Linked DNA regions of Drosophila melanogaster. The protein of the gene in region 1 interacts with the protein of each later gene in a pairwise test. Each region holds a gene or a part of one and is shown on either strand. Other genes may lie near its edges. The genes, in order: pie, GstO2, Cpr64Aa and ara.

Region 1 (7,573 bases):
CATATTCTAATAATAAAAATATATAGTATTGGCTAACATTGTGACCCTTATTAAAATATTGAAAAATTCAAAAAGTGTAATTAGGACAATGTAACAATAAACTGTATAACGTTATATTGAAATTTACAAAATGACTTTTCTTTTGTGGTTAAATAATATTATTTTTAATACATATTTGTAAATAGATTCGTTTGTAAAATTTTGAACTTGATAGCCTGCATGTGATAAAAATAAATCGATAGTCGAATGACCCCAACAAGTGTTTTCGATTACCATTTACTCTTCCGCTATCTTGACATTCATCGAGCTATCGATTTTTACCGGTAATTCGCATTTGCAACTCGCTTCCATGCGCATTTTATTGTATTAAATTTCTACCAATATATCAAATTATAGTTATGTCGGAAACCAGTGGACCCGCAGTGCGCATGCCTTGGTAACTTGTAATTAGATCTTGGAAATCCACAAGTAATACTATTTTCATTTCTTCAGGGTGGAAAAGTACAGACCAAGCGGTCTCGATGATTTGATATCTCACGAGGAAATAATATCAACAAGTGAGCATTCTGAGCGTTTAGCCATACAAAGCCACCACATTTAAGTGTACTTCTAGTAACCCGCTTTATAAGCCGCAAGCAGCTGCCCCATTTGCTGTTCTACGGACCACCTGGCACGGGAAAAACGAGTACAATCCTGGCCTGCGCTCGCCAATTGTATTCCCCTCAGCAGTTTAAGTCCATGGTCCTGGAGCTGAATGCCTCGGATGACCGAGGCATTGGGATTGTGCGCGGTCAAATCCTTAACTTCGCGTCCACACGCACCATTTTCTGCGACACCTTTAAGCTGATCATTTTGGACGAGGCCGATGCCATGACCAACGATGCCCAGAATGCCCTGCGCCGCATAATTGAGAAATATACGGACAACGTGCGCTTCTGTGTGATTTGCAATTATTTGAGCAAAATCATTCCGGCGCTGCAGTCGCGTTGCACCCGTTTTCGGTTCGCTCCATTATCCCAGGATCAGATGATGCCGCGACTGGAAAAAATCATCGAAGCCGAAGCGTAAGGTCTTTCAACTGCATAAAATAGCTTATTACTAACCTAAAATCTATCAACTATCAGCGTTCAGATAACTGAGGACGGCAAGCGGGCACTGCTGACCCTGGCCAAAGGTGATATGAGAAAGGTCTTGAACGTCCTGCAGAGTACCGTGATGGCATTTGATACGGTAAACGAGGATAACGTCTACATGTGCGTGGGCTATCCGTTGAGGCAGGATATTGAACAGATATTGAAGGCCTTGCTATCCGGCAGTAGCTTGGAGGACTCCTTCAAAAGTATGATGCGATTTGAAATGGCGAAAGATCAAAACTAATGATTCTTTCTTCTCTTTGCATAGCTGTCGAAAGTGCCAAGTACGCAAGAGGTCTCGCTTTGGAAGACATCATTACAGAATTGCATTTGTTTGTTATGAGACGTAAGTTTTTATCAAGTTATCATCAAGTCAAGTTATTGATATGTATTCCAAACAGTTGAGCTGCCTATGTCGGTCATGAACAAGCTTATTGTAAAGCTAGCTCAGATCGAGGAGAGATTGGCCAAAGGATGTACAGAAGTGGCTCAAACTGCAGCTCTGGTAGCCGCCTTCTTTATTTGCCGAGATATGGTTTCAATGGAGAAGTGAAACAATGTGTACTCCAATAATAGGTTAGAATTAAATTATAAATACAAAAACATAAAACACAATTTATTTACTGCATGCTTCTCTAGTTTAACAATCATTAAACCTTTTTAAAGTGGTTTCAGAGGTAGGAAATTTTTTTTTGTTTTTTTTTTTTTTTTGGATGATCATGCGAAACAATATATGCATAAAGAGACTAGAATTCTATGACGAATTAATTCCCACACAAGAGAATTGTTTAAAACATTAAGAACATTAAGAATTGTTTTAAACAATATTTAAGAGAACCCCTCTGATCTGTACCATTCGTGGAACTTCTCGATATGCTCAAAGATGCCGCGGTCCTCGCTGCGGCACCATACATCGTCTGGTGTTATGTTGACGCGTTCCAAAGCTGCCTGCGAGGTGTCCTGAATGCGCGGGTCATCCTCTTTAAATCGCAGCACACACGTACCAATGCACTCACCCATGCATGTGCCGTGCTCAAATTCGTAGATAACCAAGTAGAAAAATGGTTCGCCAGGGCATTGAAAGCCCGATTTTAGCACAAGTAAAGTATTTGGATCCTCTTTCGGCAGTGACGGTGAGTTGGGAGCTTTCGCCACAGCTTGTTCCTGCGGCTGTGGACAATCGAAAGTTTGTGATACTAGCTGCGTTGAGAAGCTGGCTTCTGGCTGCGGTGAGTGTGGAATCGTGTTTAATGCTGTTTGCTGCGTTAATTCAGGGTTTACGTTTATTGCTGTTGTCTGCGGTAAGTCGGGGATCTCACTTGCTGCTGTTGGCTGCGGTGAGTCGGGGATCTCACTTGCTGCTATTGGCTGTGGTGAGTCGGATGTGTCCCTTCTTGCTATTGGCTGCGGCGAGTGGTTCTCATCGATGGACGTCTTTGGCGACGCCTCTGGCGAATCAGGAATTTCCACTATCATCTCCTCCTGTGGCGGCGATAAGGATAACCTCTCGCTTGTTGCGTTAGATTTCGGTTGGCTGAATATAACCGTGATATTACTACTTCGTTCGCTTTCGTCTTCTTCGGAGAAAACAGGAGTCTGGGTTAAGGATCGAGTTGCAGCATCGGGTCCCAATTTTTGCACATAAAAAGAGCCATCCACCTGGTTGTCGCCGTCAGCATTGGTTTCTTCTGTTGTGCGAGCCGGTCCTTCAGCAATCCTCCTCTCCACGTCCAGGCACATAGAGCACTTGAAATCTGTACGCTCGCGCTTCTTCGGCAGTCGCAGGGCGCCCACCAAGCATTTAAGATGAGCCGAAGTGGCGGCACAAGAACTGCAGCATAGTATCACCCACGATAATCTATTATAAGTTCTACCACTGGGGCACAGGCAGTTGGGCTGGTCGCATTTCAGATTGCGCTCGTGGAGCTCCCTATAGGCGTTCCGTTGCTTCTCCCACGTGGCATCGCGATCGGGCACGAATACCGACTGCAGGCGTATGGAATCCCTGAAACGTTCCGAACGACACCAAATGCAACGCAAGTAATATCCGGAGGTCAGAGCGTACTGACGCATGCATTTCTTATGGGCGAATCCGAGGCGGCAGCAGTCACCGTACACAACGCAATGCAGCTCTACCTTATAGATGGAACTGAAGCAGATGGGGCAAGTGGCGTTCCTCGGCGGATTCGACTGCAGCTGTCGCTTGTAGTCATCCATCGGCCTGCATTTGTAGCAGTAGCTTTTGTATTGGCCGCAGAACTCGAAAACGGCGCGATTCTCCAGGCCGCACTTCAGGTGAAACAATGACCGGCAACGATCGCATTGCAAACTGGCCCCAATCTTATTGCAGTACCAACATTTCCTCTTCTCCGCGGCGGCTGCCTCCTCGCGGATATCGCGAAGCAGAAATCCCAGGATTCCACTGCTATCTCCGCCGCGCTGCGGCAAATGCGTTGAGAGTAGCTGGTGGATTGGATCAGGAAGTTTACATTAGCGGGAGTTCTCTTCATTTCACAACAATCGCACTTACCAGGCAAAAATAGTGCACCTGCAAATTGCGTACAATCATCCATTCGCCAAAGACCAGGTCGTCAGTGTCCGAATATTTGCATATTAAGCATTGCAGCTCCTTGTTATCTTCCATTTGTAAGCTGGCCGCTCAGACTAGTTTTGCTGGACAGATCAACTCGTTTGAGTGCTATTATGAATAATTTTTAAAACTATCAACATGTTTTGCATTCCTTTTTTACTCTATTGGCGGGCAAGGATTTTGAAAAACAATAAATACAACAGCGCCTTATTATACTTCAATTCCACCAAGCACATTTTTGGAAAAGCTCTGTTTCCACTGAGCAACACTCACAATGATCTAATCTGCTTAACTAGCTATATTTTGCGTTAACCCTACTTATAATAAAATTATTTATTTATGTGTAATAATAAATTTTAACGTATTAAAAACTTAACACAATATAAACAAATATTTTGTGATTAATAATTAAATAGCATGATAACCGGAAACATAACTGTGCGTGGTCCGTAGGTTTTATTAGATATGATATGCCATTATGAAAATCATAAGACTATACATTTATAAAGCGATTTCTGAGATTCAAGATTCAAATGCTCGTTTGTATGTTTATAAAATGTGGTGCGTGCATATGCATACATAATGCTGCGACACATCACACGAAATACCTTCAGTATTTTTAATAGCAAAATAATATACAATAATACGCAAAAACTATATCTAACAATTAAGATTCTATTTTCATTTCATCGATTCCACTATTCCGCAGCATTCCTAAACTTGGCGTCGCTATCTAGACGAGCTTTCCAACAACAAAGTTCAGTATATTTAATGTTAAACAAAATAACACAGTTTTGTTAATTGATTGTGAATCACGTATCTCCATTCACCTTCCCCAGTCCGAGAATCGGATTGTTTATAACCGCATTATCATCGAGTGCGTTAAATAGGGCGTAGGCGTACCATCGGACTGGATCCACCTTAAATAATATGGCTGCCGAGATAAAACCAGCTCAGCGGACCAACAATGATCGCTTTAACACCTCCAAAAAGCCGGAATTGCTGAGTAAGCTGGAGGGCAGCAGCGACGATGTGAACGCAGCGATCCTAATTCCGGGCGAAAACGGCGTAATTAGCGTTTCCGATGACAAGTGCGTAGCTGTAGCCCATTAAAAATATACACAAATGGTATGCCTGACATTTTCATGTTTTCCCCAATAGAACCGTTCGCGTTTGGCTAAAACGCGATTCTGGTCAATATTGGCCTAGCATTTGCCAGTATATGCCTTCCGGCTGCACGGCCATCGAGTACGTTTCGGAATCCCGGCACCTGTACGTCGGCCAGGAAAACGGAACGGTCACCCAGTACGCGCTATCCGAAGACTGCAATCGCCTGTCCTTCCTGCGGGATTACTTGTCCCATCAAGCGCGGGTCATGGCCGTGGTCTTCTCGAAAACCCACAAGTGGATACTCTCCGCCGGCAAAGATAAGCAGTTCGCCTATCATTGCACGGAGAGCGGCAAACGGGTGGGCGGATACAACTTTGAGACACCATGCACGGCTCTCCAGTAAGTATGATAAATGGATGGTGAAAGGGGGAAGGGGGTGCGACAGTGGATATGGGATAAGCGGGTCATTTAATTGGATTAAACTGCTTTCTTTGACACGGCAATAAACTGCAATTCTTCACGGCTATGGAATTCATTTAGAATTTGAGAACCTTCTATTGTTAATGACGTGTCAACTGAGTCATTTTATCTACACAAAATTTTGGCATAAATGTGTGCACTGTGCGAAATATTCTATAAGCAACATATAATTAATTATAATCTGCGTTTAGGTTCGACGCTTTGGCCAAGTATGCCTTTGTGGGCGATCATGCTGGACAGATAACAATGCTAAGGTGCGATGTTCAGGGAGTGCAACTAATTACCACTTTCAATGGACATTCGGGTAAACAAGTTACAAATGATATTTAGTAAGCTAATTATATACGAATTGGTTAATTTTTAGCGGAAATCCGGTGCCTCAAATGGGTGGAAGGCCCTCAGCTCTTGTTTAGCGGAGCTTGCGATCAGTCCGTGCTAGTTTGGGATGTTGGTGGCAAACGTGGCACCATTTACGAGCTGCAGGGACATAGGTATCTCCAATCTTAAATAATATTCATAAAATAAGATAGTAATCGGCACTTCTGATTATGTAGCAACAAAGTTTCCGCCCTGTCGTACGCGAATCACACGCAACAACTGATAAGCTGTGGCGAAGATTCAGTAGTGGTTTTTTGGGAAATGAATGCAATGCGGAAAGAGGTTCCTGGCTGGGTGGATACCAACAACTGTCAGCTTTGCTCCAGGCCCTTCTTCTGGAACTTCCGCTCAATGATGGATCAAAAGCAGCTGGGTGAGATAAATAGCTTACACTTGAGTTACTCTTTGTTTTACAAGTAATTTCTGACTGTCAGGAATACGACAGCATCATTGTCGCCACTGCGGCAAAGCCGTGTGCGACAACTGTTCCACCAATCGCATTAACATACCCATAATGGGCTTCGAGTTTGATGTGCGTACCTGTGATCCGTGCTACAAACAACTTCAGACAGTCGAGCGCCCCTCGCTGGCTTCATTCAATGACGCCAAGCATTCGATCGTCTACATGGACCTGGACGAGGACAGAAAGCGCCTGTTGACAGTGGGCCAGGACAGGCTCATCAAGATCTGGGATCTCTCCAACATCTGGGCATAAAACATCCTGTACGCACACGCACGTACCAAAGGTATAATCATTCACGAGGCGTTTCGGTCTTAACTGGAACACCCAATTAACGAACGATGTGGCTGGCAACGACCAAATCCAGTCCCTGCTGCTTAGGTTCTCATATAATTGATGTAAAGCAATAATCATTGTATGTACGTATGCTTACATTCAACACATAAATACACGAATCCATCGATTAAGTGGTGTTTTCTAAATGAGTTTTTATTAGATTGTACTTTATACTTAATAGCCACCCCTGCCCGGTGGTGGTGCTCCACGGATCATGCTGGGCGGCGGTCCGCGCATCGGTGGCGGAGCACCGCGTCCCATGTTTCCTGGCATCGAGGGCATGCCGCCGGGAATCATGCCCGGTGGCGGTGCACCCATCATCGGTGCTCGTGGCACTCCTCGTCCCATCGGAGCCATGTGCTGTTGGGCGGGTCCGCCCACACCTCTCACGGGACCCTGGAGACCCGCTGGCACGGCGGACAAGTTGATAGGCATTCCGCGTCCGGCCACGCGACCGATTCCCGGACCAGGAGCTGCTCCCGGAATGGGAACTCGGGGCAGGCCCTCCTCTGGCGGCGGTGGTCCCTCCACCGTCAGTGAAACTATGTTCTCGCCGCGCAGCAATACAAAGCCCAGCACGCGCTTCTCCTCGCGCTCGGGCACCTTGGAATTCTTCGAGCGAATCTTCCGGAACTCCTCGCAGTCGCCGAGGATCAAGTTCATGTGTTTGTCGAAGGCTTTGAAGGTACCGATGAAGGTACGCGAGTCCTGCAGCACGATTCGCACCCGATAATTCAGGTGCTGAATCATTTTGTTGTTCTTGCCGATCGTCTGAAATAAAGGAATTCAAAGGATTTAATTGTGAAATACAATAGCATGCATAAAAGTCGCGCCATCTTTTGTAAACCATTTCGACCCTTTAAAAAAGCCGGTATTTATAAAAATTTTAATAAACCACAGAGTTTGAAATAGCAAATCTCAGCGTAATATCGAAGATCACTAAAAATCATAATTTTAAACAAATATAAAATAGTTAATTAGCCAAAACAAATTGTTTTATTTATTCGCATGCATGTTTGTATGTATGTATGCCTATGTAAATACGAAATCGCAACCGCGAAAGTAAGAATCTATGAATTAATACAA
Region 2 (7,842 bases), on another chromosome or scaffold:
TGTTTATAGTATTATTTATAAAACAAGTTCTCCAACATTCAGCGTAATTATCGAATAACGATTTTTATATTTCATAATGTTAAAGAATATTGGCATGAATAACTGGGATTTTTTGGTTAAAAAGTTAGAAAGGTATATTATTTGGTAAATTTCAATACGATCTTTATTCTTTTACAATTGTAGGTAATGCATTAAATTAATTATTTGATTTGTAAAATTTACTTACATTTTTAGCTATAGCTTTCACCCCGATATCAGATAACCCATAATATTTACACTCTAAAAGATAACGTAGCTACAAAATTTGAGCTTTATCACGACTGGGCCCTATCAACATTAACTTAAGTGCAATGACTTGCTAAACAAATAATAATACAGGGGTGGATTTTAGGGTTCCACAAGTGACTCATGAAGTTATTGATTTATTTGTATAACCTAAATTTAACTGGTAAATAAATTCTATCTTTAGGTTCCCCCAAGCCTGTACTCCCTGACGATGGAGTCCTTCGCCTGTACTCCATGAGGTTCTGTCCCTACGCTCAGCGGGCTCATCTCGTCCTGAACGCCAAGAATGTGCCCTATCACAGTGTCTACATCAATCTCACCGAGAAACCAGAGTGGCTGGTGGAAGTGAGTCCGTTGCTTAAGGTGCCTGCCCTGCAGCTGGTGGCGGAGAAGGGTGAGCCCTCGCTCATCGAGTCGCTGATTATTGCCGAGTATCTGGACGATAAGTACCCGGAGAATCCGTTGCTGCCCAAGGACCCATTGAAGCGGGCACAGGACAAGATTCTGCTGGAACGTTTCAGCAGCATCACCAGTGCCTTCATAAACATCCTTGTGCAGGGCACCGGTCTGGAGGATTACTGGACGGCACTTGATATCTTTGAGGAGGAGTTGACCAAGCGGGGCACCCCATATTTTGGCGGCAACAAGCCGGGATTCGTGGACTACATGATCTGGCCCTGGTTCGAACGCCTCTCTGTAATCGAGTTGAAGTTGCAGAAGGAGTACAACTTCAACGAGAGTCGTTTCCCGAAGATCACCAAGTGGATTGCCCTCCTGAAGGCGGACTCGGTGGTGCAGTCCTTCTATGCCACTCCCGAGCAGCACAACGAGTTCTGGCGCACCCGCAAGGCCGGCAATGCAAACTACGATCTGCTGGCTTAGATCGGTACTGAAAATGAAACTATTATATAACAAAGGAGATTTAATAATGTTCTAAAAACAATAAAAACTAAAATATTTTATGTGACAAAGAAATGAATTAAGGCTAGAAAGGCAAGAATTCCGTTCCAGATTCACAGAACGTGGTTCGAAAAACTTAGTTCTTAAAAAGTTTTGTTTTAAACAAATATTTTGGAGCAATATGCAGGTTGCAAGGGGGCTTCACTGTATCCACATGGCTTGGTATGTGTGTCAGCCGCAAGCCACCAAGTTCAGCCGCGTAAGCGAAGCCAACCGGCGAAGGGCAGTGAGCTGCACTTTATAAATCACTCGAATGACAATCGCTATCACCACTTGCATCTCTGGACCCGAGCACGCACATCATGAGTAACGGCAGGCATTTGGCAAAAGGTGGGTAGAGCCAGGAAACCAGGATAATCATAATTGATAATAAATGCGCCCACTAGGCTCACCCATGCCGGATGTTCCCGAAGATGGTATCCTTCGCCTGTACTCGATGCGCTTCTGCCCATTTGCCCAACGGGTGCATCTGGTCCTGGACGCCAAGCAGATCCCGTATCACAGCATCTACATTAATCTCACAGACAAGCCGGAGTGGCTGCTGGAGAAGAATCCACAGGGCAAGGTGCCGGCTCTAGAAATCGTGCGAGAACCTGGACCACCTGTGCTCACAGAGTCGCTACTGATTTGTGAATATCTGGACGAGCAGTATCCATTGCGACCACTCTATCCACGTGATCCGCTGAAGAAAGTGCAGGACAAGTTACTAATCGAGCGATTTAGAGCGGTGTTAGGTGCCTTCTTCAAGGCATCCGATGGCGGTGATCTGGAGCCCTTCTGGAGCGGCCTGGACATCTACGAAAGGGAGCTGGCTCGACGTGGTACGGAATTCTTTGGTGGCGAGCAGACGGGCATTCTGGACTATATGATTTGGCCCTGGTGTGAGCGCCTCGAGCTCCTTAAGTTGCAGCGTGGAGAGGATTATAACTACGATCAGAGTCGCTTCCCCCAGCTGGTGAGCAGGTCCGTGTATCCCAGGAGTGATGAAGTACATTAGTATACCATTTTTCAGACCCTTTGGCTGGAACGCATGAAACGAGATCCGGCTGTGATGGCCTTCTACATGGAGGCCGAGGTTCAGGCGGAGTTCCTGCGTACACGGAGCCTGGGTCGACCCAATTACAATCTGCTGGTCAAGGATGCCTGATGCACTTGGTTTATTGAATTTTTCGCATGGAATGAATAAAACATAAATGCAGTCCATAACCGGTTCCAAAGATTTGATCTTGTCTAAACCAGTTGTCGTTCTATGGTGTACCCTTGAAGGCAATGTCGTACTGGGGATTTCCAAGGGTCTTCGATTTCTGGAACTCAGCATGCAACTGGACATCCAAAGCTGTCTTCTGCACAACCTCATCCTGGGTCATCAAATCGCGCCACTTGAGCTGTAATGGATTTTTGATGAGATACATGCATCATCTTATGTTGGATTACTTAAACATACCAGCTTCTCAAATCGTTTTGTATCCAGCTCATACTTTTGCTCCGTATTGATCTTCATGCTGGGAAAACGTTCGAACCAAGGCCAAATCATGTAGTCCACGATTCCAATGTGCTGGCCGGCAAAGTAGGGCGTTCCTCTTTTGCCCAACTCCACTTCAAAAACATCCAAGGCATTCTCGAAGTTCGGTATGGCATCTTTCGGAGCGTTGGGATTACAAGTCAGCACAGGATAAATGGCACTGACCACTGGAGCAAAACGTTCGATTAGAATCTTGTCCAGCGCCTTCTGAAGCGGATCCGTGGGAAAGAGTCGCGTCTGGGGATATTGCTGGTCCAAGTACTCTGCTATGATGAGCGACTCCACGAGGGTCGGTTGGTCCTTCACCCCAGTAAGCTGCAGGGCTGGCACTTTGCCCAGAGGACTGAAATCCTTGTACCATTCAGGCTTCTCAATCAAATCGACGTAGATCTTATGATGTTCAATATGTTTGGCGGCCAGCATCAGACGAACTCGGTGGCTGAAGGGGCAGAATGCCATGGAAAAGAAACGAGGAACTCCATCTTCTGGCAGCTCGGGCTTGGTGGAACCTGTAAGATCAATGTAAGCTTGATTAATTGGCAGGAATAAAAGCACTGACCCAAATCCCAGTTGAAAAGGTAGAAATAACATTTGATGGTCTACTTTATATATGGGTTTAATATTTTTTTAAAAGCGGTTTCACAATGTTAGTTTAAGTATGTTGCTTCCTGTCATCCATTAATACATCCTTTACAAGGGCTGGAAGGCTACATCGTAGTCCGGTTTGTTCTCATGGCGGGTCTTCATGAACTTCGCATGGATTCGGGCATCCAAAGCGGTGGCCTTGACAGCCTCATCCTGAGCCACCAGATCCCTCCACTTCAACAAATTCTGATAGCGTGTCTTGTCCAACTCGTAGGGTTCATCCAGAGTGTACTTGAGGGCCGGGAATCGCTCGAACCAGGGCCAAATCATGTAGTCAGCAATGCCGATCTTGTTGCCTCCAAAGTATGGTGTTCCGCGCTTGGTGATCTCCTGCTCGAAGACATCCAGAGCGGTCTCAAAGTTCTTGATGGCATCAGCGGGTGGATTCTTGGTGAACAGCACGGGGTAAATGGCGCTGACAGCGGGCGACAGGCGTTCGATGAGAATCCTGTCTAGCGCCTTTTGCAATGGATCCTTGGGGAAAAGGGAGCCCTCGCCCGGATACTGTTCATCCAAGTACTCGGCAATGACCAGGGACTCCACCAAAGCCGGTTGTCCAGGCAGATTTGGCAACTGGATAGCCGGCACCTTGCCCAATGGACTGTAGTCGATGTACCACTCTGGTTTCTCGCTAAGATCAATGTAAACCGTGTGATGTGGAATCTTTTTGGCGGCCAAAACCAAACCGGCACGCTGCGAGTACGGGCAGAATCTCATCGAATAGTAACGCAGGACTCCATCCTCGGGGATCTCCGGTTTGGGCGAACCTGTTGAAGGGTGATTTGTGACGTCAGCAGAAAGTTTTCCATTATGCTTTGGCTAAAATTAAAGCTCTATCTCTGCGTAATTTACGCCTCTCAAAGTGGGGTCTAGATAAAACTATGAAATCAATTGCCAACTTTTGCAGCGTCACTATCCCGATGACCTTGAAGTGCCCCCAACTCACCCCTCTTGAAGTGCTTTTGCGGCAGGGCCATTTTGTTAACAATTTTAAAATAATTCCCAAGACGTGAAATGTTGGTGGCAAAGTAGTTCCGATCGACTGACAACAAATAGAGGGATTCCGGTACCTTATAAAGTGGTCGCAGTCGCCGGACGAGTGAATTTATCGAATATATTTCGATTGTTGAGCGGGTGAATTTAAAATTCTTAAGCTCATATTTAAGAAAATTGTTTGACCACATATTAAAGACTACAAACGACTACTCTAAGATAAGTATTTTCATATCCATTTATCATTCATACCTTCATTAATCTAATTCTAAAACAAACGTACTTACAACCCGTATAAACAATGAAAATGCAAAGATTTATTTTTCAATCACAATAATGCTGCCGTAGTAGGTACATGTGTTACATGTTATATGTGCAAAAGGTACAATGCTGAAGTGGAAACGCCATCATCCCGTAGACTACCCCAATTTGACACGTTTGGCCTCATTGCTAGAAACGAGAAATGGATCAGTCACACATTATATGTATAATCTTCAAATCTTACTATAGCATATTATAATCGGCCTGGCCCGATCGCCGGGAGTTCATGTATTTGGCATGGGTCTGTCCATCCAGATAGAAACACTTGACAGCACGATCCTGGATCATCAAGTCGCGCCACTTAATCTGCAGTAGAACAATCTCGGTAATTTAAAAGACATAATTAGAAAACCAATAGGACCCACCAAAGTGGGAAAACGTTCCGGACTCAATTCGAATTTTTGTTCAAAAGTGTATTTCAGAGAGTCAAAGCGCTCGCACCAGGGCCACATCATGTAGTCAAGCATGCCTGGGCTGTCGCCACCAAAGAACTTGGTACAACGTCGCTTCAGTTCCTCCTCATAAACGACCAATCCGGCATAGTGATCGGTGTCAACCAGCTGCTCGGGATTGTCGTGCAGCAACAGGTAGTAGAAGGCATTGATGAACTGTCCGAAACGTTCGATTAAAATCTTCTCCTGGGCTTTTTTAAGCAGATCCTTGGGATACAATGGCACCTCCGGATACTTTTCGTCCAAGTAGTCACAAATAATGAGCGACTCGATCAGCACAGGATTTCCCTGTTCCTTGACCAGCTCCAGTGCCGGCACCTTTGTGGAGCTGCTCACCAGGGAGAACCACTCGGGTTTGTCGCGAAGATTGATGTAGATAGCGTGGTAGGGAATCTTTTTGGCATCCAGGACCAGGTGCACACGGTGTGCATAGGGGCAAAAGCGCATCGAATACAGCTTTAAGATCCCATCATCCGGAAATACGGGCTTTGGCGAGCCTGCAATATATATGCGCCTTTTAAATGTGAATTTGGAACTTAGTAACTTATACTAACCAATAGTTAAGTGCTGAGTATTGCTCATATTGGCAATACAATTTTTTCTGGAAAGGAACACAACCTGTTTTGCGGGTTATGACAATTATCGATATTTGACAGTAAACGTTAAGGTGGCTCGATAACGTATTGTCTTTTTACAGGATTGATGTATTTTTAATCAATTATTATTTAATCGGTTTAAAAAAATCTATCTTAATCTTAAATATTAATTTTTACAACTTTAATTTTTTTAAATATAATTCAGTCATCTATTCATCTATTATTTAGGACTTTAATTTCAATAATTTATGGTTATATATCCATAATAGACTATTTGCATCACTGCTCCAAATACATATTGTATATACATAATTAATCTAAAATCAATTTATATTTATCGTTTTTAATATTTGCTGCAAGAGGTTACATTGATCGCCATCGATGTGTAGCGTTGATAGCAACGGAACACCGATACCTATCGCGGATGATTCGGTGTTTTTCCACATCCCTACCGCCTATCGATAATTGTTATAACAAAATTGTTTTAGTTGCGGATTTCTTGTGTTTGGCGGTGTGAGCGAAAGAGAGATGGCTGCTGCGGCATATGTTTAGCGTGTCCGGAAAATGTTTACAGTAAGCTCGCCCTTGCGTAACTGAGCCCGTGTTGGTGTTGGTGGCCGCATCCCGTACTCCGTATCCCGTGCAAATCTCGCCGCTCCATGCGGACTCGCTTCGATTCGATTTCCCGTGCCAAACCGAGATTATTGCAACGTAATTGACACTCGGCGTAATCTCTACGGCCTCTTTCATTCACGCCCACCGCATCGGCAAAAGCTATAGCTCCCAGAATCGTCCAGCATTATCTTCGATCCCGCAATAACTCTAGTGGGAATTGTGTGAGTGTGTGTTACAGTGTGCGATGTGCTAAACAGTCCGGCAAATTTACGGGTGAGTTAGTAGTGGGCTTGCATTAATTATTCGCCTTTGTTTAATCTTGGCATAAGTTCGTTCAGAATGGAAAGTGCATGCGACGCGCCCCCATTCCACCTCCCACCGCCCAAAATCCACCCACCACCACCCACTCGTATTTATTTATAGCGGGACATTTCCATGTGCGTGTGATTTTGACACCCGCTCACTTACATCCATATGTATTTGTTGTACACACACATACGCAGATGCACACGTAACTACACTGATATTCAGCACGTTTTTATGCTATTTTCGATCGACATCATCAATGTGTTCTATACATAATTCAGCGCAATTCTGATACCATTTCCATGCTCGCTATCTTCAGAGCCTAATTACGCAAAATCAATGGAATTAGTGTTATCAAACGGGCCAGAATGCTTATCATCCACTGGCGGGGCTAGATAAGATTTCAAGGGGGAAGACAACGTGGATGAGTCTTCACATCGCGTATGCTTTATCTCTAGCATTCTCTCTATTTAAATCAATAGACTTATCCAAACGATCATAGTTACAATTACAATCCACGTGTTCGACGTACACAGCTTACATTTTGCGTAAATAAATACTCTTATCACCTTACACATAACGTCATTAGATTTTATATTTGTATTGCGCATTGAGGGATATGAAATATTTAAGTTGTATTCCGGATGCGTAACCCCCTTTGGAAGCCGTCACTGTTATCGCCACTGACCCATATATCAACATGTGTTCCTTTCGCACTTTTGGCTGCCTTCCACATAGTTCTGTTGTTTTTGTCTTTTTTTTTTTAGAAGTGTAGGTGGTGCATGAATCATAGATAGTGGTGCCGGTGGTGGCCAAAAGGGAAGCATCCTTATCGGGCGCGAACTTTTCCATTTCTCCGCCAAACGCCCGCCGCCAATCAATTATTCATGAGCCAGCGTAATTTGCAAAAATTGATATGTATATTTGCAAATAAAAAAAAATGCAATATCAGCTATGAATGCCTTGCAACCAGGCGCCAACAACTGAGGCAGCCAACCATTTCAGCAACCAACAACTCAATACGGAAAACAAACGTTTCTCGGCGATCCACGATCATTTCGATGCCCCCAGATGAATTATTTATCGCATATGGCCAGCCCTTCAACATCAGTTATGTGTCACTTGGTGGGTCGTACTAGCTGAATAC
Region 3 (7,105 bases), on another chromosome or scaffold:
GCTATTTATGGTCGGACTTTTGGCTGAAAATCTCATTAAAATCGTATTCACTAATCTGAGATTAGTGGCGAGATTTTGAGATTATCATATGGCCGGGGTCTAGGACTTAGTCGTTATTAATAAAAACTTTATTATGATGCAAATATTTTATAGTTTTTTATTGAAAATCAATCTACTCAGGTGTCTATATGCTTATATTTTGTTTACTTGCTTACATAAGGCATTTTTAAGTTTCTTAACTACAATTGTCTTTAGAAGTTGTTAAAGAATGTCTAAATTTAAAGTGTTGCTCAACTTAAAGGTGTATAATGCGCAGATATTAATGAAATGTGAAAACTATAGTGCATCATCGTATTTCCGCAATACTTTCTAAAATTTTCCCGATATTTTGGTAGCCCCTCGAGCATTTGGTGCCCATTGTAGCACCGGTTGCTTGGAGCTGCAGCACGCCCATTGTCTTACGCTTTCGCCCATGTCTTTTGAAGCTACCCCCCTCCAGTTTCCCGCCCATGCCGTGTCGCGATTAACATTTCAATTTAATTTTATTAAATCATCAAAAGCGTTTAATGTCGATTGCAACAAAGGCCCGTCGCATTATGCAAGTGCAAATGTAACGAAAAGTCATTATGCGATCTATACATTTTTACATAAATAATAACAAATATGCGCATAATTGAAGGCGCCGCTGCAGATGTGCAGACGATGTGGGGTCCACTCCGCACCATTCCGATGGAGGTCAGTTCTCGGACGGATCAAATTATCCGGATCCAAAGCCAATGATCGAGGCGCGGCCAGTTTCAGTTCCAGTTCCAAGTTCTCCATTGTGCCCGGTGGCCAGTTGCCAATTACTCGATCGGATCGATTGGCAATCGGATCGGCGACGGACTGTTCTCCAATTGAGACCATAAATTTCATTTAGACCACTTTGCATTGACGCTCGAATTACGCAGTTTTCTGTGGTGCGTGGCCCGACCTTGAGCGATTAGCCTATCCACCATTCAGTGGCGCACTGCATCGGTAGCCCGGTGGGTGACCCACGCAGGTGGGGCTTGTTCTGTTCTAAGGTCGAACCACTCACGGGCGGTGAGCGACACAAGTGCACTACATGTCCCAAAATTAACATGGAATTCATGTGTTGCCAGTGTCAAAGTCTAAGCCGCCACTGAATAATGGCACTTTGGTTCTAATAACAGCGATTATCATTCAATGATTTAGAATTAAACGCAATCTTGGCAATTAAAATCGAATTAAATAGCTTTAGTATGCTTTACTTTTTATTAAGCGTAAAAAATTCACAAGCAAGTTATTGCCTATTAGTTGAATAATATTATTCAAATATAACTCTTTAGTTCTTGAAGGAAACCGATTTATTTGAAAATTATATATTCAAAAAATATGTAACATAAGATATTTTCAATTATTTAGCTACAAATATAGTAATTGTCTTTGAATCCTACTAATGTTCAATGGTTGTAATATATTTCGATATAATATTCAAGCAATAGCTTTAAACAGAAATCAGCTTCCGTTTTAAAACTCAAGAATCAGAGTAATTTTCTTCCAAATTTTCATTTCCCGTAAAAGAATACTCCATTAACTTTCCATTTGCATAGCTTCGGTTCGTTTATTGCAATCTCGTTTCTCATTCTGCGAGTTCTACTCGAGTGCACAGGCTCGGATTAAATAAGAATTGAAACGGGGATTGTGAGTTGGGGATTATAGAGTATTTATCGCGGTCAAACAGCCTTAAGATTAAGAAGACAAGAAACATAAATGAAAGGTCTCGAGAATGTGTGAGTGTAGATGAGGGAACATTGGATCCGTAACTCAAGGACTGGGCAATCGGAATCCGCTGTCCGTGAATTCGTATGTACATATTTCGATAAATCGCTTTCATTTCCACTAATACTACAACTACTATCGACTATGATCGGCCCATGAGCTCCGGCTAACTGGAGCCCAGGTGGCAGGAGAAGTTGGTCGCGATGTGTCCATTATTCGGTTGCGGCAAGAGGTCGGCATTATTCGAGTGGTGTATATCCATCCATCTGACTTAGTGGTAGCCCAGGGGCGAGAGGGCGGGCAGGGCCAGCTTGGGCAGAGCAGGTCCATAGGCGGGAGCCAGAGCCGGTCCGTATCCGTGGGCCAGAGCCGGGTAAGCGGGCGCCAGAGCCGGACCATAGGCGGGCACCTTGGCCACCAGAGGAGAGGCATGGAGCAGCGGAGCCGGGGCCAGAACCTTGGCCACCGGAGCCACAGCCTTCACCACAGCTCCCTCGCGGCGCACCACTGCGTTGAATCCGTGCACGGGATCGGCGGTGTACTCCACAATGCGGCGGGTTCCGTCGGCCTCAATCAGTGAATAGGCGCCCTGCACCACATCTCCGCTGCGGGTCTCCTGCTGGCTCTTCACGTCACCAGTGGAGCCATCCTGGTGGGCAGAAGGAAGTTGTTGGATTAGCAAAGGATAGGAATAGGTACTTTATATTTAAAGAAATGCCTTGAAACGAATCCTTTGCATCTTATATCCTAAGGATTTCAAGGAAACTATAAATATTTTATATCCAACATCCAACTTGCTCAACCAAGTGGTCGGATTTAATAGTTCTAAGCTTCCATAAACACTTCATAAAAATGTCTGGCAAAATCAAAATTTGCATACCAGTTGCTCAATAAAGCAATAAAATTCGAATGCAGATTTCTGAATTGGCATTGCTTTTTATGAGGTGACTAATAACTTCTTACGAAGCTGACTCACATGAACATCGTAGCTGAAGGTGTATTGGGGATTGGGATCGTATGGCTCCGGACCCGCCACCTTGGCCACCAGAGGAGCAGCCACCTTGGCCAGCGCCGGGTACGATGGATAGGCGGGCAGTGCCAGTCCGGGACCAGGGACCACAACGGCGGAGGACACCGCCACCAGGGCGCTCAGGACGAGGATCAGTTTCTGTGCCATTCTGGACGGATTGCTTGGTGTTTGCGATGGAGTAGTGGAGAACTGGAGGTCTACTGCTGCTCGACTGACAAATGAACTCGATCTGTGGTTCTGTGGCCGCACGACAATTGCTTTTTATAGGCCTCACATAGACGCGAGCCCAAAAATCCGCCACAGCCTCCGCCGCCGCCTGCCACCAGATATTTATGCAAAAAGCGCAGCAAGACACAAAAAATAATAATAAACAACTAAAAAGTGAGCATGCGTGTGGAGTCTGTAGCGGCCTGTGCCTATGCGAAATGCTCGCATCGATCGCGACAAATATAAAATAATTCATTTTTCGCTGCCCATGGCAATCAGAAGGGGCTGTCCGGAGGTGGAGGAGCTGCCGGTCGAGCTGAAGGCGCTGGAGGTGCTTGGCGGTTCACGCATGTCTGGGAGTCTGGGAGGACTGTGCTGGACCAAAGCAAACTGGTCCCACGCCGGCTGAATCGCCGTCGTTGTTGTCGTGACAAAAAAGTTCAATTCGAAAGCGAATTATTTGGGCCTAAGCCGGGTGGCCGGACGGATCAGGTGTGGTGGACGCATGAGCACCAGTGCCTCCCATGTCTCCATGTCTCGACTTTATGGCCACCAGATTGGGGCGACGCTGCACACGCACCCAGCAGTCGATTGTTGAAAGGTGTGTTTGGGGCACAGCCTTCGAAACTGGCTGGCTGCTCTAAGCCGCGCCCACCCAAAAAATCTACGCCAGACGCATTCAATGCACTGCGAGAAAACGAAAAAGTTCTAACCGCAATGAATGTGATATGTGATATTAAAATCTCTACGAAAAAAGTACTTGGATAACATATACAATACAAAAGGATATCAATTGTAGAATATTCTGTTCAATCCTATAGATTTTCGAATGTCATGCAGTATTTTTTTGAGTGTATAGATTTGGTTCTGTTTCGCTGCTCTGTTGCCATTGGGACAATTTTGGCCATTATCACTAATTTTCAACGCGTACCGCCGCTTGTTAGGCGTTGCTGCAGTTGCAGTTGCAGTAACTGCTGCAGTTGCAGTCGGCGCCGGCAGCAACATCTATGGACATGCTCGGGTTGGGGTTTGCGTAATCCAAAAATTGCATCTCGTGCCGATTTTTTACTTTCAATTAAGCTATTGAATAATTTGAGTGCGTGTTGGGCCAGCGAGAGTGAATGTATTCATTTGGAGTGGAAGAGTTCTTTGGGCGTGGGACAGCTGGAGGGGAGATAACCATCTAAGATTGCGGTCTTATGTAAGTGGAATGGGTCAGCTTTCTTTGGCGAATTGGGCTTTTCCTGGTTACATTTTGTTACATTTAAAATTACAAAACCACTTTTACATGGCATGGAGTCACGAAAATGTTCACCAAGTAATTAGTTCCATTAAGCACATAACCATTTCCATTTCTTGACACCCGCAATTATGATGTAATTGAAAAAGTTAACACACTGCTAAGTTTCAAGTTCAAAACGACGATATTTGCATCATAATTAACACGCAAATTTTGATCTTGAAAAAATGTCCATTGAATATCTTGTTATTTTGCACTACTTTTAAGTGTGTTTTTAATTTAGTTCATTATCATTAACTAGGCAAGTATGCATTTTGGGCCTTGAGCTTGTCTAATCAACTGACTAATTAATAAAAATGTATAGGTGTAAATTTAAACTCGTTTCGGAATTTTAGTAGAGCTTTTGATTAATTTTAGTTAATCAACGCCTTGAGAAGCGAATACTTGCGGATTTTCCTTGAATATGATTGAAGGATTTCATGTATTTCTTTGGCTTATTGAGTTTATTGTTTAATGATTACTGACTTTACAACGGACTAAGGAGCAGACAATAAGTTATGTAAAAGCTAGGTTACAAGCAGTGTTAAAGGCTCTGAAAGATTGTGGAGTTAGCCCAAGATTGGAGCAGCCACTGGAGCCACCAATGGGCGAGCAGCCACCGGAACTGGTCCTCGCTGCACCACCGCATTGAAACCGTTGATGGGATCGGCGGTGTAGAAGACGGTGCGCAGTGAACCATCGGCATCGACCACCGAGTAGGAGCCCTTGACCACATCTCCATCCCGCACCTCCTGCTGGCTCTTGCTGTCCCCGGTAAGGGCATCCTGCACATTATAGGCGAACGCGTACTGCGGATGTGGATCCACCTCCGTGTTGAGGGGCACTCCCACTGGAACAGCAGCTGGGAGCAGGGCGCACTCGATGGCGGCGATCAGAGCGCAGCAGATGAGGGTGATCTGTGGGTTAAGTAAGGTGCATTGATTGATTTATGATCAAGATATACACTTGTGCAGATCCTAGTAGTATGTTCAATCACATTCCTTGACCAGGATTCCCTCAACTCACCTTGATCAGGGCCATGACTAGATTTGCTGGTGGATAGTGGTTTTCCAATGGTGCTTTGTGCTTGACAATGCTGTCGGAACTGTCTTGGATTGCCATTGGATCGGGGTTATAAAGGGCCTCCACATTTCCGCGATAACATGCGCCGTGTGGCAACCGCTGCCAAAAACGATTCCATTTGCTGACGTAATGGCCCGTTTTTGTGCCTGGTCCACCTGCAAAAAGTTTCCCCCATGGACGTGCCATCCAATGGCCCAACTTGCACAATTCTCCCCTCCATTGAAGCCCCACCAATATGAATTGTGATAACCGTAAATATAGTTGGCACTACGTGATCGGAATCTAAGATTGGGAGCTTTAACTCGAAGCTCGGGACCTACCCCAATGTTTAACTGGGTTAAGCAGGGGAATGTGGAGCATTCCTAGAAATATTTCAACTTTTCGAATATCACTTCCAACCGATCAGTTCCATCGAACAACTAATAACAATTCATTCAATCTTTTTTTTTGTACCGAAACTTTTATTCAGTAAATGCAGTTACTAATTCACTAAGTGGCCGATAGCCGTTCCCCAGATCCCCAGAACGGTATCCCTAAACGTAGTCTATGGTGGCGATCCTTCGATCGGAGATTGGGAATGTGGGTCAACAGCGGGGTGGCAACAGCACGCACGTCCTTGTGTTTCGGGTTTTGACTGACAGAAAAGTGGGTAAATGCATTAGAACTATTTAACAACGGTCCTACAACTAGGCCATGGAGTTTGTCATCGCTTGGTCCACCGGTTCATCGCCTAGTGGTATCCACCCAGACTCAGACCAGGCGCCGAAGCGTATCCAATCTTGGTGATGGCGGGAACGGCGGCGACGGCAAGAGCTGGCTTGGCAATGGCCACCGCGGCCACGCCCTTCTTCTCCACGACCGCATTGAATCCGTTGACCTTGTCGGCGGTGTAGGTGACCTTGCGAATAGTGCCATCGGGTTCGGCCAGGGAGTAGCTGCCGTGGACGACTCCGTTGACCAGGGTCTCCTCCTGCTGCTTGGAGTCACCGGTGTGATGATCGGTTACTCCGTACGAGAAGCTGTACTGCGGATTGGGATCGTAGGGCTCGGCAACAGCCACCTTGGCCACAGCGACGGGGGCAGCCAGGACCTTGGGAGCATAGGAGATGGCAGGAGCGGCATACGAGATGGCAGGAGCCGCCAGGAGTTTGGGAGCAGCATAGGAAATGGCAGGAGCAGCAAGCAACTTGGGAGCCGCATAGGTGAGTCCAGGGGCCGAAAGTCCATAGGGATCAATGGGAATGGCCACAACGGCGGACAGGATCAGTCCCAAAACGAACAGAGTCTGGCGAGGAATTCCATGATCAGTTGAGCCAACTAAAAGCTGCACTCCTTTGGCCAACTCACCTGGGCAATCATGGCGAAGGATGTGAGAATGAGGGAGCTCTGGTTTGGATGTGTCTGCACTGCGAGAACTCAGCTCAAATGTGAGATGCATTTTCCGCGTGGTCTTCAGTTTTATATTCGAAACTGGCGGCAGCTGCCAGCGGAAAAAAAAACTGGACAATCTAATGGGCAGAGTGACAATTGCGTCTCATTTGGTGGCTGCCCGATCTCGATCTCGATCTTGCACCCCAGACCTCATCGCTGATGGCGGATTTCGTGTTTCTGGTGCGGATTTCATCATTGGTGCTGGCTTTTCTCAATGGAATAACTGCAGCCGCCGCTGCCGAGGCACACCACTCACCGAAGTCCATTTGAGTCCGTTCAAGAGCGCCGCTCCA
Region 4 (8,132 bases), on another chromosome or scaffold:
CCGAGAAACCCCCCCAATCATTGAAGAAAATATTTCATTTCGAACACAAAACGCAGACCCTAAAGCTGACAGTGTTTATCTCAAAACATTTCGCCAATGAATTAGTTTATTGCGCTGCTCAAATGATAAGATAGTTTTCATTGATGGATCTAAAGAATGTTCCAAGCAAATGATTTTGGTAACTTATTTCGTGCTTTTATATTACGAGATTTAAACACTTGAATACTACTGTTTTTTTTTTCAATTTTTAAATATATATAAAGCTCCGATTATTGAAAAGTAAAAAAAAAAACCAAAGAAAAGTGAAGACTTTATAAACAGATTCTCTTAAGTACCAACACTTTGTCCGTATTACTTAGAAAATTGAGAAGTAATTTAATAATTATCTAAACTATCCTTGAACAGCGCCATAAACTAGATGTCAACTAGCTGCGAGGATGGAAACCTGCCCGGGAATGGGATGACTCGCCTCCAATCGACGCGGCACAGGAAACGCACGTCCATGTATAATGGCTAATTTTCTGCATCATAATGCCGAGTAAGTCATGCTAACTGCCGTACTGGAAACTTCATAAATATTGATGTCCGGCAATGTTGTTTACCCATCCCCCAGATCAATGTACCATTTTGCAGGCCATCCTCCTACTGAAGACACAAAATCCGCCTGAATCGCTGGGTAATTGCGAATTTAATTCGAAAAATCGACAGTAGGCACCCATTACAAGATGCATCGATAACATGTAAGCGAATATGGTGTTAACACACAATCAATGCCACTGGCAGGAAAGCGCAGAAGCTGGACGGGATTCATAATCCCGCGGCGATTAAGTTCCCTTAATCAATGGAGTGGATTGGATCGGATGGGAGTGCAGTTCGGGATTCGCGAACTTCGCTGCAATGGCGGCCAGATCAATTACCCAGCAAATCGATTCCAAGTGCGACGGATCGGCAACGGGGGCAGCCTGATGTGATGTCCTCCATCTTTTACACAGTGGAACCTCGCCTATGGCATGCGCCACTCACTTGGCAATTAATATGCAAAATGTGCCAAGCCCACGAAGCCAGTTCTCTTGGGGGCATTTTAAAAAATGCCAGAAATCAATGAGGGTGTGGCAGCCGACGCCTATAGGTCCCAGCACCAGACCAGACCGACTTTTTCGGACCCATCCACAAGATCGATGTGGATATGGGATGCATGGAATTGATGCAGATGGAGATGGAGTCGGGCAACATGCTGGCGAAGGCTTCTGAAAATTACCGCGGGCAATCTGCAAAACGAGCGGACTGCTTCAATTTCCCCACAGTCTGCAATCTGCAAACTGAAGTCTGGAAGTTTGAAGTCTGGAAGTCTTGAAGTTTGAAGTCTGGAAGTCTTAAGGTCTGGAATCTGAAGACTTTAGTCTTCTGGGCGAAAATATCGACGCACCGAACCCATAATTAAGTTGAGTGCTCCGCCCGTTGGACAGCTACAAATTGATCGAAGTGCCCAGCAAAAGGTCATAATATCTGGGCAGCAACAATTTTAGCCCGGCTAACACGGCTTCTGTGGCCGAATTCGCGGTCAAAACTTAAATGCAGCCAGCAGAATGCATAATTATTCCGCGTCATTAACATAATCTGACAATAGAACCATCTTCTTCGCCCGAAAATCGCAGCACATGCATATTATTTTATAATTATCAGATGCGATCGATTCGATTCGAGATTGATCCCCTCGAAATTCAGCAGGTGAGTGATCTACTAGAAGGTCGCTCAAGTCCGATCATAATTAATAAAGGAAAAACATATTTTTTTTTGAGTCGTGCTGAAACGCACAAATAATAGAATTTCGAGGCCAAGACCGCTGACTATATATAGGGACATCGAAAAAAAAAATGTGAAAACTCACAGCCATTTATCAAAATTTTACAAATGAATGATTCAGTTGTTTTACTTTTTTGACTTTTTTTTTTGTATTCCACCGTGCCGCGTGATTTTAATTAGTAAAAAGCAAATACATTTCGCTCGATTCTGTATGGGAATGTTCAGCGATCGAAAGGAGGCAACGCGTTCCCAGAGTTTCTCGGCAAACGCAACAATATGAGAATTATGACAACTAATCTGATAGGCGACACCATATAGGGAGCTCTATGCGCCTGCCAGATTCCTCAGCTCCTTGAGCGAATGCATTATTCATGAGGTAGAGGACTCCATTCCAGCAGTACCTTTCCGCTCTCGGAGGAAGCGCCAGTGGTCCAGTGGGCCATGTGAATTGGCCACGTCTGCGGATGGAACGTGGAACTTTCGTTGTTCGCAGTTGGAGGATGCAGACGACGACGACGACTGGCAGGCGACAGTGCGCAGATAAGATCTGCTGGCCATGTGTGTGCCCAGTGAGCAGTAACCAGTAACCAGTAACCAGTACCCAATGCCCAATGCCAGATACCCAACTTCTGAGTTGCACTGGCTTTGGAAATTTCTGTGAATCGCAAACGCAGCGATCTAATCGCAGCTTGTATCTCGTGGGTCCACCAAAGCGGCCAGGCTACCGCGATTCTGCATCCGAGTGCCTCCCCCGACAATCTCCTCCAGATGACCAAGTTGATAGCACCGGACTATAAGCGCCACTTGGAGCCGCACTCCGCTCATTCTCCTCACTCCCCAAAACGAAGCCAATGTAAAGTAGATCAGAGTGGAGCCAAGTCATTGGTCCATCGATCGTGTTCGTTGGGATTCGGATGCTATCCTATCTGCCATCTCCAGATTCAATGGATGCTCCTCACGTAGCCAGGAGGGCATTCCCAGAGCCTGCCCTCAGCTGTCACTTTACGGTTATGAATTTTATGATTTACGATCGCCGCAATTGAATTTTATTGACTTTTCAACAGTTTCACCTGAGCGTGCCTCAATCGGCACCTCCCATCGTCTTGGCCTTCTGATTGCCAAGGCTTTTCCCTTTTTTCTTTTCCTTTTTCTTTAGTTTTTTTTTTTTTTTTTTGCTTTCGTTTTCGACTTTAGTTAATTGGGCTCGTGTGGTCCGAAATGGGAAAGACGCCAGAGTTCTTTGGAGGAAGAACCAGGCAATTGGTAACCAAGTATTATGGCCTGGGAAATTAAAGTTTAGCCCAGGCAAACGCAATCAATAGGAAATTTAATTTACTCTAGGCCTTTCGAAAGCTTCTACAACTTTTGTAATTTATCACAATATTTTACAAATATTTTAGTTGCACCTGCAAGCCGCGCAATTTTGTGCAACATCTTTAAAACGCCGAATCGTTTTTTGTGTGAATTTTGAAGGTTGACAAAAACGCCTGATTCCTCGGAGTGGCTTTTTCTCAGGCCATTTATCAGCCATCTGATTTATTATGGTTTTTTGCTGGCCTGCCACCAATTTACTGTCATAAACATGGAAAAAGTTTGCCTCAAGCAGCTGTTTTTGCTGCTTAGTGAAAAGTCCAAAAGCGCTACAATCAAAGACTTTTAGCGGTTTTGCCCTATAGTGGGTCCTCAAGATCAAATAATCGGATAACTTTGACTGGAGTCGGTGGAAGTACTCAGATGAAAGTTGGTGGTAAGGATTGCTTAAAAAACACACAAATAGAATTTAAACCCAACCAAGCTTTTTTAGGAAAAAAATTTTAGAAAAAATATTCAGATAACGGGTTCAGTTTTAATGATGGAACGCACTCCAGAAAAGATAGTTGTGATTATAAATAGAAAAATTAAATATGTATATGAAAAAATATGATTTTACAACGCTTTTTGCTTGTGACCTCTGTTTTTAATACCTCCAAACATAAAAATTATGAATCTTTAAGGCAATCATAATTACAATAATCAGTTGATTATATCAGTCGTATGAATAATATTGTATCTAAATAGGTTCCCATATCTGCAGTTAATAAACATTTTCATTCCTCTAGTTATCTTGAGATCTCTTGCTACTTAATGAATATGAATAGCCATCATATAGTATATACATCTAGATCAAATTTAGTTAATTAGAGGACCCACCTGCGAGGCCGACGGAAAGCCTCCGTATCCGAATTGTGTGTAGGCAGCCATTTCGCTATATGACTATACGACTATATAAGACCTAGTCTTAAGATACTCTCTCTCTCTCTCTCTCTCTCTCTCTCGCTCGTGGGCAGTCTGCTGAAGGATATACGGTGAAGCTGCTACATCAAATGATGTGCTTATCGGGGGTTTAACAGCTCAGTTTCGATTGGGTCTGTTCACAGTGGGCACTGGCGATAACGACCATAACGACATTGGGCCAACCGAAAGTATCTCGTGGATTTGTTTGGTATTTGCAGTTGCAGCTGTCACTTGTGGTGGATTTTTGTTTATATATATTTTATTTTTTTTTCTGGCTAACAGCACTCGCAAAACGCGGCGGCAACGAAAAATCGACGAAATATCGACGGCAAAAACGCGGCGCTTCAGCACACGCTCCCTTTCAGATGTGCACCTTATAACGTTCGAACACGAACTGGTTGCGAATGCCGTTGCTGTTGGCCGTGTTGCTGCTGCTGTTGCTGTTGTTGTTGCTGCGCTGTTGGGGCGCATTCCGCTGCAGTTGGCGCGGAAGCGGGACAACAATATGCTGCCTCCCCCCATCGAAAGAGAAACGGAATGCCGCTCGCCTTGGAGCGAGCAACAAGAATAACGGAGTCGGCAGACTGGAAGTGTAAGCACTCTAGAGCAACGCCCACCGTTCTCCGGTTTTGTCTGGTGTTGGTGGTGGCATTTGGCCGGTCGCTCTCTCCGCAATTCCAATCCGATTCCCCGCCAGTGACTCGTATTCGCGGCTCACTGGAAGTGAGGCCAGCGCAACCACCAATCGTAGGGCTGCATGAGCTTCGGCTGGCTGATTTAATGGACAGGTGCGAGGTCGCCAGGCGAAAGAAAGCAAAGAAAAGAAAATACAAATGAAATGAGCGGATGGTGAAGGGAGAGGAAGTGGGTAGGGAGCGGGACGCATTTTCACAACTGTCGATGGTCTCTTGTTTTACCCACAATTCCCGGGCAACGCCCATTTGTTTTGTTTGGCTAGTCATTTGTTTGTTTACTTTTCACAATTGCGCGCCCATCGACTGGAAGTGCGCCACCAGCGATCGCCAGCTGGAAGTGGCAACAAAGTGCTGCGATGGCCAAAAGTGGCGACACAAAAGCGTTAATAAGATCAGCAAATTCCAAGACACTCGCACTGTATTTATCGTCTGTCATTATCTTTATCGCTGCATTGCACTTTAGTTAACTCCCATTATCGATCCTCACTAATTAATCTCTCCTAATTCGGGTTTAAATGAAACATTTCCAGCGATCTTTGTTTAAATATCATTCCACTTGGATACCAGTTACTTAAATTATCAACAAGATTTTAACTTTTTATGGAAGGAATTAATATCCTTACTCAAACAGGCAATCATACCATTAATTCTTGGGATTTTTAAATATCAACCAGATTTTTACTTAGCTTAGGTTATGTTATTAGTAATCATAACATATATTAACTTTGAGACATTTTAAATTTTTTATAAAATGTGTATTGCATTTTTTTACTGCAATTGCTTTTTAACAGACACAGATCATTTAAGTATTTTCAACATTTGCGATACTTTGGCGAACAATATTTATGGCAATTAAAATACTTTAATTATCTAACTAAACTAATTGTTATGCTACTTAAATATGCTAGCCAATTTAATTTCGCCACTTAAAATATCTTCTAGAACATAAGCAATTTTAATTGCAATTAAATAGCACTTGACGTGTATCCGAAAAACAAGAAAAGCCTGACCTAATTTTCTTTTTGATAAATTGCATGCAACGTATGTTTCTGCACTATGATACATTAATTGAAAAAAAAAATTGATTTTTCTAAGATATTTTTAGAGATAACTTAAACCTCGTGTGTTTTGCAGAAAGTTCGGTCTTTTAAGAAATCATAAAAAATATATATTATACTGTCAAATTTAGGGCAAGGAATGGCCCACTTTTTCACTTACACCATATTTATTATGAACTTTTAACTATATTTATAAAATTCCATAAGTTTAGTGTGTAAAAGGTACCCGCATATTGCACATGAGCCCGTGAAAATGCTGGATTTGGAAAAAAGTTTTTGCTATTAATGCGCACTAACATATTTGGACATCCGCTTTACGATCTATTTTTTACGATTACGATTCTCCGGCAGGATGAATTCTCCGGTCGAGGACACGCATTCCGGAAATGGAGAGTCCGCCGTGGATGTGATGCGATGTGATGGGGGAGATGAGGTAAACCTCAAATGTTTTTGCGGGTGCCGCGGATGTTGGCAAGCTTGTTTGCAGCGTGTTTTTGTTTGTTCTCCTGTTCTTCTCTTCTTCTTTTTTTTGTCGTTTGTTTATTTTTATGATAATGTAATAAAAGCAAATTAACCTATAAAACCGAAAAAGTGCGACTTACACGACGGAATTGCGCCATAAGGTCTGGGCGTGTCCTCACCTCGCTCCGCATAAGATATATGTGTGTGGATGAAACGATCCACGTGGTGTGGCTGGAAGTGTGGGTAGAATAGAGCAGTATGGAGTGGCTATGGTGAGTGGATATGGGTGGTACTGGGGGTGGTGGCACCCCACCCACCGCGGCCCAGCAGCGCCGGAAAATGAGAGCAGCGTGTTAGCTGAAAGCAACAAATGACCAAAGCTGTTGCCCCCACCAAAACCCAAATGTGAATTAATTCCAAGGGAAGCCAAGTCATGACGAGGCCAAAGGCAAAACCCAGCGGCAGTCGCACACTTGGCCAAAATCGGGGATCACTTACAGGAACCTCGATAAAGGTGTATAGAATTTATTGGTAAACATTAGTAAGTTTGCTTTTAAAATTGGAAAAATAATAGATTAAATATGAAAAACTAAAGGTTGTTTATAAATTTCATACATAATTTATAAATATATAATGCATATTTTTCAATGTACATATTATTTAATTATGCCATAAAATAATTAAGCTATATAAAGTGTGCTTCTAAAAGTTCGTAATATAAGTATTAAAAATTGAGCCTATTCCTAATATTTCTAAGGTAGTTTTCTTAGCAAAAGGCCTTTTAAAAATATTTATTCTAAATGGGAGCACGTATTTTTTTCGAGTGCAGCGGCGGCAACAAGAGCGTAGAGTCCGTTCCAAGTGCCCCTCCGGGTGTTAAGTACAATATTTGCTGTGTTGCGCGTTTTACGAGTGGCGCTTTTGCAATCGCCGGACGAAAAGGGAAGGACGCAAGAGGGGGTGGCCGGGGGTCTGTGGGCGGAGTGGCGGCGGGGGGCGTGGCAGCGACGGGCCAAATGCAATCAATCAATGGGTCAGCATGATGGTACACACCAGACGACGACGAGTGGCAACCACATGGGGCGTTTCCATTTGCGGCAGCCACACACTGACCACCCTCTGAGTTCGAGAATCGAGTGGCAAGAATTCTCGAAAAAGTCCTCGTCGATCCGAGACTGCGGACTGAAATCGCACAATTGGCAGTTGCCACTTTCGGTGGCAAGAAGTGCACTTCACTTACAAATCAGTCGACGGCACTTAAAACCTATTTTGACAATTGAGCTGTCCGCCAGTCAAACTGACAGCGCGCACTTTTCACGCCACTCGATAAAACATACATATGTATATACACAAATATATATATATTTCGATCAAGGATATAGCAGTTTTGGTGGTGGCATTTCCTCCACCGTTTTATGCCGTTTTAATTGCAACATCTGTCACTGCGGTTTATGCATATATCAATTTCAAAATAGCCGGCAAATGGCAACGGCAATGAATCCATTCCATTCCACACCAGAACCCAAAACTCAAACCCAAACGCCGTGGAAAATGAAATATATATTTTTATTTTTATTATATTCGCCGGCAAAAACTGTCACAACACACACTCGCCGTTGACGCCTGTCGAGTTTCGGTTTGGTTCGGTTTGGCGGGGATCTTCGTGGGAAGGGATGAGGGATCCGGATCGGGTGTGAAAGAAGGGTCAGGATGCGATACGCACCACACACACACACACACACTCTACTCTATGCGGCAACCTTTCCCTTTTTTTTTTTTTGCTTTATTTGCCCGATGCCGCCACTTTTATTGTTGTCATTTTCAGCGGGCTCGACTTTAA

Evidence for each region.
Region 2: the proteins of pie (region 1) and GstO2 interact in a two-hybrid assay, tested with the Drosophila melanogaster proteins (one large-scale study listed by BioGRID).
Region 3: the proteins of pie (region 1) and Cpr64Aa interact in a two-hybrid assay, tested with the Drosophila melanogaster proteins (one large-scale study listed by BioGRID).
Region 4: the proteins of pie (region 1) and ara interact in a two-hybrid assay, tested with the Drosophila melanogaster proteins (one large-scale study listed by BioGRID).

The regions. Positions count from the first base shown.
Region 1 is NT_033779.5:10,418,867-10,426,439, forward strand, and holds pie (pineapple eye), read right to left. Parts: upstream 3,915-7,573; 5' UTR 3,778-3,914; coding exon 3,664-3,777; intron 3,597-3,663; coding exon 1,962-3,596; 3' UTR 1,759-1,961; downstream 1-1,758. Other genes in the region: RfC3 (replication factor C subunit 3), read left to right, coding at 399-436, 493-557, 614-1,064, 1,125-1,339, 1,402-1,479, 1,535-1,686; Wdfy2 (WD repeat and FYVE domain containing 2), read left to right, coding at 4,654-4,814, 4,885-5,232, 5,505-5,617, 5,678-5,804, 5,868-6,064, 6,126-6,406; small ribonucleoprotein particle protein SmB, read right to left, coding at 6,662-7,258. UniProt on the Drosophila melanogaster protein: Required for survival of imaginal disk cells possibly by regulation of cell apoptosis. Required for germline stem cell self-renewal through mediation of BMP signaling.
Region 2 is NT_037436.4:8,519,043-8,526,884, forward strand, and holds GstO2 (glutathione S transferase O2), read right to left. Parts: upstream 4,460-7,842; 5' UTR 4,390-4,459; coding exon 4,359-4,389; intron 4,180-4,358; coding exon of another isoform or gene 3,458-4,179; exon of another isoform or gene 3,369-3,457; intron 3,277-3,368; coding exon 2,690-3,276; intron 2,631-2,689; coding exon 2,493-2,630; 3' UTR 2,393-2,492; downstream 1-2,392. Other genes in the region: GstO3 (glutathione S transferase O3), read left to right, coding at 470-1,167; se (sepia), read left to right, coding at 1,548-1,575, 1,632-2,200, 2,258-2,392; GstO1 (glutathione S transferase O1), read right to left, coding at 4,825-4,855, 4,911-5,032, 5,092-5,675, 5,733-5,760.
Region 3 is NT_037436.4:4,206,134-4,213,238, forward strand, and holds Cpr64Aa (cuticular protein 64Aa), read right to left. Parts: upstream 3,046-7,105; 5' UTR 2,960-3,045; coding exon 2,759-2,959; intron 2,432-2,758; coding exon 2,054-2,431; 3' UTR 1,705-2,053; downstream 1-1,704. Other genes in the region: Cpr64Ab (cuticular protein 64Ab), read right to left, coding at 4,868-5,215, 5,325-5,339; Cpr64Ac (cuticular protein 64Ac), read right to left, coding at 6,112-6,666, 6,729-6,740.
Region 4 is NT_037436.4:12,577,015-12,585,146, reverse strand, and holds the start of ara (araucan), read right to left. Parts: upstream 4,476-8,132; 5' UTR 4,045-4,475; coding exon 3,994-4,044; intron 1-3,993. UniProt on the Drosophila melanogaster protein: Controls proneural and vein forming genes. Positive transcriptional controller of AC-SC (achaete-scute). May act as an activator that interacts with the transcriptional complex assembled on the AC and SC promoters and participates in transcription initiation.